Oryctolagus cuniculus: one gene and its partner. Each later gene encodes a partner of the first gene's protein in a complex. Links are inferred from orthologs where the notes say so. Each region holds a gene or a part of one and is shown on either strand. Other genes may lie near its edges.

Evidence for each region.
Region 2: the proteins of PPARGC1B (region 1) and PPARA are in contact, whole or in part, in a crystal structure (PDB 3SP6), measured with the Homo sapiens proteins. The link is inferred for Oryctolagus cuniculus from reciprocal best matches to the Homo sapiens genes PPARGC1B and PPARA. Residues at the interface, in NP_573570.3 of Homo sapiens: Ser154, Leu155, Leu156, Gln157, Leu159, Leu160, Leu161, Thr163; in NP_001001928.1 of Homo sapiens: Val284, Thr285, Thr288, Glu289, Lys292, Phe297, Leu302, Asn303, Gln305, Val306, Leu309, Pro458, Leu459, Glu462, Ile463.

Annotation. Positions count from the first base shown.
Region 1 is NC_091437.1:37,163,532-37,167,327, reverse strand, and holds part of PPARGC1B (peroxisome proliferator-activated receptor gamma coactivator 1-beta), read right to left. Parts: coding exon 3,018-3,796; intron 2,264-3,017; coding exon 2,227-2,263; intron 1,671-2,226; coding exon 1,606-1,670; intron 683-1,605; coding exon 1-682. UniProt on the Homo sapiens protein: Plays a role of stimulator of transcription factors and nuclear receptors activities. Activates transcriptional activity of estrogen receptor alpha, nuclear respiratory factor 1 (NRF1) and glucocorticoid receptor in the presence of glucocorticoids.
Region 2 is NC_091442.1:120,675,602-120,679,497, reverse strand, and holds the start of PPARA (peroxisome proliferator-activated receptor alpha), read right to left. Parts: upstream 2,852-3,896; 5' UTR 2,697-2,851; intron 2,689-2,696; exon of another isoform or gene 2,334-2,688; intron 1,690-2,333; 5' UTR 1,619-1,689; exon of another isoform or gene 1,585-1,618; intron 1-1,584. UniProt on the Homo sapiens protein: Ligand-activated transcription factor. Key regulator of lipid metabolism. Activated by the endogenous ligand 1-palmitoyl-2-oleoyl-sn-glycerol-3-phosphocholine (16:0/18:1-GPC). Activated by oleylethanolamide, a naturally occurring lipid that regulates satiety.

The DNA of each region.
Region 1 (3,796 bases):
TCAGAGCGAGGGGGACTGACCCCTGAGTCCTCTTCCTCTTCCTCCTCCTCCCTGTCCTCCTCTTCCTCCTCCAGGAGGAAGCTGCTCTCACCACTGCTGCTGCTGCTGTCCTCAAAGACGGTGTCATACTCGGGGCTCTTGCACGAGGCCAGGTCCTCGTCCTCCAGGGCGGTCTCCAGCAGCCCAAAGTGCTTGGTGAGGCTGGCGCGGATCTCGTGGTCTCTGAGCAGCACGCTGTCCTTGGGTGGGCCGCCAGCGGCACAGCTTCTGTCCTCCTCCCTGCCGGGGACCTGCGTCTCGGCACACAGGGTCCCCGGCTGGGGCCAGTCCTCAGGGTGGACCCCGGAAGGCTCCCAGGACCTCAGCACCTTCCTCTGCAGGGCACCCTCCGGCCTGAGCACCTGGCAGTAGTCGTGGTCTCCGAAGGAACAGGAGAAGGGGCGCTTCTGGCCAGCCTGGGAGGCCGGCGGGGCCGCGGCGTGCCGCAGGTGGGAGAGGAGCTCGCTCCGCTCTGGGGGCTTCTTTGGCAGTTTGTGGGCAGCCCCTGGGGCGGCCCCGAGCTGGAGACCCTCAGGGGATGGGGGGCTGGGAGCTGCGTCTTTGTCCAGGCTGTGCTTGGGGTTGGGCTTGAAGGGGTCCTCCTCCATGGGCTTGTATGGAGGCGTGGTGGGTGGGGTGAGCCCTGCAAGACGAGACATCTGTGAGGCAAGACGCATCTCTGGCCCTGGGGCCATGAGGAGCCCCATTTGGAAGGCACAGAGCTGGCTATGTGCCCCTACTCCCTGAGCTTGATGGATCACGGGTGTCACCAACTGGCCGCCCTGCTGCTGGCCGAGCCTAGACGGCACCCCGGGAACCCTCCAACTCTCTGTGGTTGGCACGGGATGGAATGCACCTGGCAGCTGCTCTGTGGGCTGCTGATGGCAGCTGGAGCCTCCAAGTCACCAAGCTGTCTCTTTTGGCCCGCAGGCCAGTGCTCAGCAAGTCTCCCCAGTCCTGTCTCCCAAACACCACAGAGCAGAGCAGGTAGCAGAGGTAAAACTGTCCACCTAGACTTGACCAGGGCCATACCCTATTGCGATTCTACCCTTGCCCTTGGCCTCTACTCTCCCTATGCACCAAAAAGAACTCAATGAAATGCCCATCTCTTCCTCTCTGGGGCTCCTAACACCCGCAGGGTGAACCTCTGACTTGCGCAGTGAGACCGGGTTCAGCATCTCCGATAGACCCCGCCCCTCACCCCTCTGAGCCCTCCCTGCCAGCACACTGTTGCCCTTCTGTGGCTTGCCTGGGTCCATTTATCCAGCACAAAAGGCCCTGCTCGGGGTACCCTGCAAAGTCTGCCCAGGCCACACCCCTGCCCAGCCCAGTCCAGCCCCTCTCTGCATCCCAGGGCTTTTGCCAATACTTCAAACCAGGCGCAGGTGAGACGGTGCTCAGCAGGGAGTGAGGCTCTGCCGCCCCAAGACCACAGGCTGCTCCTTATTGTGCATCTCAGCACCTGTCACAGCTGCAGGTTGGGAGGGCTTGGTGCGCACCCCCTCATTGCATGAGGGGTTTGCCAGCTCCCCGAAAGGCACCCAGCAGCCGAGCCACCCTGCTTACCTGCCGTGCCACAGAGCTCCACTGTCAAGGTCTGCTCAAAGCTCTTCTTGCCAAAGGGAGGGTCGCTGGTGGGGGCAGGAGGACAGAGAGGAAAGAGGCCAGTGAGCAGCAGCAGCTCCCACCCCCTCCCCCCAGCACCCAAGGCGGGCACGGGGACACCAGGTGGACCCTGGCTCTGGCGCCCGTGGGAACGGGGCCTGGTACAATCTGCAGCGGGGACTTTCCCATACTGGCTGCACAGCTCTCAGGACACAGACAAGGTTTGTGTGGACAGAAGATAGAGAAGGCAAGGCTCACGGCCTCCTTCCTTTACAGACAGCAACCGAGGCCCAGAGGGGGCAAGGGACTTTCCCAAAGTCACACAGCCTGCTCAGCTTCTGCCCATGGAGGAAAGCGCTCTTTCCCCAGAGGAACAGCTTCTGCAGTGACCCCAGCCTTGCCTCTCCCTCCCTCCCCTGGGCCTGCAGGACCTTGTTCCTAAAACCCAGCTCCTGAGGGCCCCAGATGGCGATCAGGGCAGGGGCTGATGAACCTCCCCACCCCAGCACCCCCAACACAAACACCCAACATGGCAAAACCTCCCAGACTGTCGGCTATACCAAACATTGTTAAGAAATCTACCTTTGTGACAAGGCCAGCATGAGGCACCTGGGAGATTCTGAAAAGAAGACCAAAAAAAAAAAAAAGACAAATAAAATTTCCATCTAGAAAGACCCCAAACTTCCACTGGTGCCAAGCACAGCTGCCGCTCAGGCAGGTGGCCCACAGGCTTCTGCCATCTTTAGGGGAGAGCAGGCACGGAAAGCCACCTTCCCCACACCCAGGACGTCAGCAGGTGCAAAGGGCTGTCCAGGAGAAAGAGCACAGGGATCCGAGGGCGACCCCTTCTGGCCACATGGAGTAGCACCACGGCAGAGAGTTCCCAAATCCCGCAGCCGAGGGCTCTGGGCGGAGTCCCGCACAGGACCTCGGTGTCTGCATCCTAAGGCAGGAGGCCCTTGAGAGGCATCCGTGCAAATAATGTGACTCCTTAGACCACTGCCTGGCAGCAGGGGGACTACTCTGCACCTCTCATTATCCTCATTACCACCGCTACTAGCGTTTACAAGACACCTTGACCGTGGAGGTGACTGCAGGTGCACAGCTCGCCCCCAGGAAGACTGTGTCTCCCCCCCCACCTCCCCAGCAGCCCCACAAGGGCAGGCCTCTTGCTCTTGGCTCATAGAGCAGCGCCTTCTCCCTGGCATGATGACAAGCTTAGAGCTGTACGGTGCTCCCCCGCAGATCCACCCCTTGTACAGAAAGAGAAGTTGAAAGCCAGAGAGGGGGCGGGAGACGTGGGCACAGGGCTCCCGCGGGGTTTGCTACCAGCCGTCCCCGCCCCCTCCTCCCAACCTGCCCATCCTGACTACCTCCGGAGGGGAGCCGCGGGCAGCCGGGGTCCTCGTCGGTGTCCCCGCACCCGCTCTCGCAGGGACTCTCCAGGGCAGAGATCTGGGGTCCTTGCACATGCTCTCGGCCACTGTCCTCATCTGTGGGGCTGTCCCCCTCCATGGTGTAGGCCTCGGAGGCTGGGCAGAGGGAGGGCAGCGCGCCTGGCGGCTTGGTGGGGACCAGCGTCTCGTCCGTGAACGCCAGCCAGGGGCCCAGCTCGGGGTTCAGTCTCCGGGAGCGGCGCACGGGGCACACGGAGCTCTCCTGCTTCCTCCCCAGCTTGGTCCACGGCACCCCTCGGCCCAGCCTCTTCCTGCCCCACTCCTCCTCCTCCTCGTCTTCCTCCTCCTCATCTTCCTCTTTCTCTTCCTCCTCCTCGTCGTCCTCCTCCTCGTCCTCCTCCCGCGGCCGATGCAGCCCACCAGGCCAGCTGAGCTCCTCTTTCACGTCGAGCCGCAGGGGCCGCAGGCTGGGTCTGGGCCCCGTGCTCTTGGGTGAAGCCGCGATCCTCACCTCCTCCACAGGGGAGGGGCCCCCTGGGGGCGCCTGACCGTCTCTGGGGGGTGCGGGTCTGGGCTGGGGCGTGAGGGAGGCGTAGACAGGCGTGGCCAGGCGGTAGGGTTTGCTGACATCACAGAGGACATCCTGGGCCAGAAGCTCCCTCAGGATGGAGAACTCGGCCCAGGAGGCTTTGGAGGGGTGCCGGGAGCCGGACTGGGGTCTGACCTGCTTGGCAGGGCTGCTGCAGGGCTGGGGG
Region 2 (3,896 bases), on another chromosome or scaffold:
CAAGTTCTTTCCGATCCGCCACCTCTGCTACTTAGTCCTCACTTCAAGCCTTCCTCTCACCAAACTGGAAAATCAGATTCTGAGCTGGGGTTTCCCCAGCCACGCGGCCTGCAAGGTGACCTCGCTCCCCTACGTAACTAATAAGGCTGAAGGGACAGATGCCATGCCTTGTGAAACACTGACTCCATCCCAAGCCACGGAAACCAGAAAGCGCAACAGAGACCCTCACATTCCAAGAGAGCAGCCTCAGGCCACTTGCACTAACTGCAGGGCCACACCCTTAGCATGCCGTGAAGCTAAGACCCCAGCCACCTGGAAGCGAAGCCACGCATCCCATTTGCCATGAAGAATTTCCCCACTCACACACAGTCTATGAAAGGCAAAAGAGAAAAATTGGCATGTTCAAACTTTGTTTTCAACAAAGAAACATTGTGATTAATGTGTTTTTAAAAGGATTATTATAAATCCATGTATATATATATGTATGTATACACACACACGTATACATATACATATATATAAAACACAGGCGCTTACGGGCAGCAGGCAAGAGAAAGGGCCCAGGTCACCAACCGCCAACCCAACGCACAAAGCAGCCCTGCCAAAATGTCCCCTCCCTGCCCACCTGCCCCTCACCCTGACCAAGGGTGACAATCTGTGAGCTTTTGTCTATACTCTAGTATGGAACCCAGTTTCACCAGAGGTCCGCGGGGGTCTCGTTCAACACTGGGCACAGTAGCCCACAGCAGCCACTCCGGAAGTAGCTATATGATGAGCCGATTTTAAAAGTCTGTGGAAAGCGGAATTAAAAGTTCACTTTACAAAAAGAAAAGTCTGAAATCTGTGCATATGAAAGGCTTTCCAAGAGTGCGTGGAAAATGCCCATTATGAGCAAACCACGCACACGTTTCACATCTTCTCAGTTTCGGCTTTCCACAAACTTTCTGAAGTAGCCTTGTCTCTACAGGGACCGGCTAAATAATTATTGTATCTAAATGTAATGGAGTATTAGACAAATGCAGGCGCATTTCATTCACCTGGAAGCTGCGTCCGGGGATGAAGCAGCCACAAAGTATTTGCCAAGAAACACAGTTTCTCCTTGTCTCTCACACCTTGTCTCTCACACGCACGCACGCAAGGGGCTGCTTTATGATGCTGGTGGACCTTGGTCAGGCGTGTCAGACTTGAGCAAACAGAAAACCTCCTCCTCCACCGTCAGTTCCCGTGCTTCTGCTCCCAGTCCTGGAGACCGCTGCGGGTGGGCAGCGACCACGCACACCCTCCCACACCGGGCCTGCGGCTCTGGAGCTGACCCCGACCCCCAGGTCACCTGCAGTCTCCCCACACGACAACAGCCCTTCCCCAGCGCCCGCTGAGTAGCACTGCTTCTCAGAGTCACCGCATCTCCCTATGAATCACAGGAAAGCAGCCAGCCAAACCCACATCAGAACTCCCCAACTCAGAACCCAGAAGCAAACCTATCCCGGGGTCTCCTGGGACACAGGGAAAAGACATGAAAGCTTTGCATCACAAAGAAACCATTAACCCCCAAACTTACTGCAGTGGAAACAGACCCTTCCATACCTCACCCTGGAGACTGAAATCAAACTCTGTTTACCTTCGGTGACACCGCCTTGCTTCTGAGCTTGTCACTTCTCCCAGAGGCAGGGCCCGGGACTCCAGCCCTGGCTGAGGAGGGACAGGACGAGACGGTTACAATGTGTTCCCTGGATGCCCCCCAGCCTCCGGCCCTTGCAAGGGGAAAGTCACGGTGACCCTGCCTTCGCCCAGGGTCGTTCTCAGTGAAGCCCCGTGCTCCTCCTCCCTACCAGCCAGCAGCCCTGCGAGCGGGGGCGGGGCGGGGGGCGCCCTGATTCCCTTGGGAATGGGGGTGGCAGGGGTCGCGGTGCCTGTGCAGACCCAGCCGGCCGAGAGCGCTCCACCTACTGCCCAGTCCTGGAGTTTTCTTAGAAAGAACCCTGACATTTGGGGCACATCTCTTCAACTTTTTTTTAAACAGGGGTTTGGGTAACGTGGGGGCGTGCCATGGTCCCCCCACCAACCAGGGTGGGCGCTGGGTAGAGCCGACCCCCCCTTCCCAACCTTGCACCCGCTCCAGCGGGCCAGGCCGGACCGGTCCCGAGGAGCCGCGGGAGGCCGGGGACAGGAAAGACACCTCGCAGCCCAGCGGAACCTGCCGGGGAACCCGCGGCTGCCCACGGCGCCCGGCGCACAGGGGCCCAGGCGCGCGACAGCAACCGCGCGCGCGTGTCCCCGTCGGGCTGCAGGACGGCGCGCACCGGCGCCGAGAGTCTGTCCGGGACACGAGTTACCTAGCCTCGGGGGTCCCTGGGGGTCTCGAAAACGCCCCCAGCTCTGTGACACTCGAACTCCACAGCGCACCGACGTCCCCGCCGCGGGCCTGGCCTCCCAGGGGACACCGAAGGACCCAGCGTCAGGAGGTCTCCGGCTCCGCCGACAGCCTCGGGCGCTTGGAGGGGCACCGAGCGAGAGCGGCCCCTGGTCCCGGGACCCTACTCGGGTCCCCGGCGAGTGCCCTCGCCCCGCGCCCCCGGGCCATGCGCATGCGCCGCCCGGCCCCTCCCGTCCGCGTCCGCCGCCCTCTCGGCCCGGGGCAGCAGAGGCCCGGCCCGGCCCGCGCCGCGGACCCCGCTCGCGCCGCCCACCCCCGGCACCTGGGCCCGCGGTCCGCCGCCTGCTGGTCCGCGGGGCGAGCGCCGAGGGAGGCGGCGCCAGGCCGGGCGCTAGCGGCCGCCTCCGCCCCGCCGCCCCTTGCCCGCGCCGTGGGGCCGCCGCGTCCCGGCCCTGCCCGGCGCCGCCTCCGCCCGCCCGTGCCAGCCGCGCCCCGCCCGCGCCACGCGCCGCCCCTCGGCGCGCCCCGCCCGGTCCGGCCGCGCGGGACCGACCCGGAAGCCCCGCCCCGGGCCCCGGCCGCGGCCCCGCGCGGGACGCACCCACCGGACGGCGGCGCCCGATTGGCCGCCGGCGGGGGCGGGGCCGGGACAGCCCTCGCGACTCCCACTGCGCGCCCCGCAGCCGCGGAGCTGGGGGAAACTGAGGCCCGGGAGGCAAAGGGACTGCCCAAGGTCGCCCCGCGGATGGCTGGCGTGGGGGGCGGGGAAGGGGAGGCGAGGGTCCCGCCGGGCGCCCGTGCCGCGCTGGCGAGGCCCTGAGCGCTCGCGGAACTCGGCTCCGCACGGCGCGACGAGGGGGTCTTGGCCAGGGCCCGGGGACCGGTGCCTAGGGTCTCGGGAGTCCGTGGGGTGCGGGGCGGGAGGACGGGGAAGGGCGTTCCGAGAGCCCCAGGACGCGTCAGCAGGTGGCGGAGGTGCCAGGCCGTGGGCACGAGTGTGAAGGGCAACGGGGACAGGGCGGGGAGGCGCCGCCAGCTCCGACCCCCGCCCCGGCTGCCGGTTCCCTGGGGGTGAGAGAGGACTTTGTGCCCAGCGAGGCGCGCGGGCCCTGCCAGCGCACTGGGAGGTCGCGGCCCCGCAGCCAGTGGCGAGGCTGAGGGGACAGCGCGCAGAGCCGCTCCGGGTGCGCAGCGCCCGGCGCCCCTTGCCGCGGGAACGAAACTTGTGCAATGTCCGCCCAGCGCCGCGGCGGCGGGCTCCCGGGGTGACCTCGTAAGTGAGCGGGCGCGGCTTCCACCCAGGTCACCGCGCCGCGCAGGGGCTGCAGACCCTGGCCTTGGGGCCATTTCGCAAGCTTCTTGGAAAGTCACTCCTGTCGGTTAGCTGGGACTGCTGTGAACTCTGCCCCACCCCCTGGACACCCACGCTCGATCGGGCCTGCCCAACTCTACCTGCGCACGCCGGCCAGCAAATGCCAGTCTGTGCGCCTTCCAGAGCCGGGCTGAACACAGACCCTGGTAG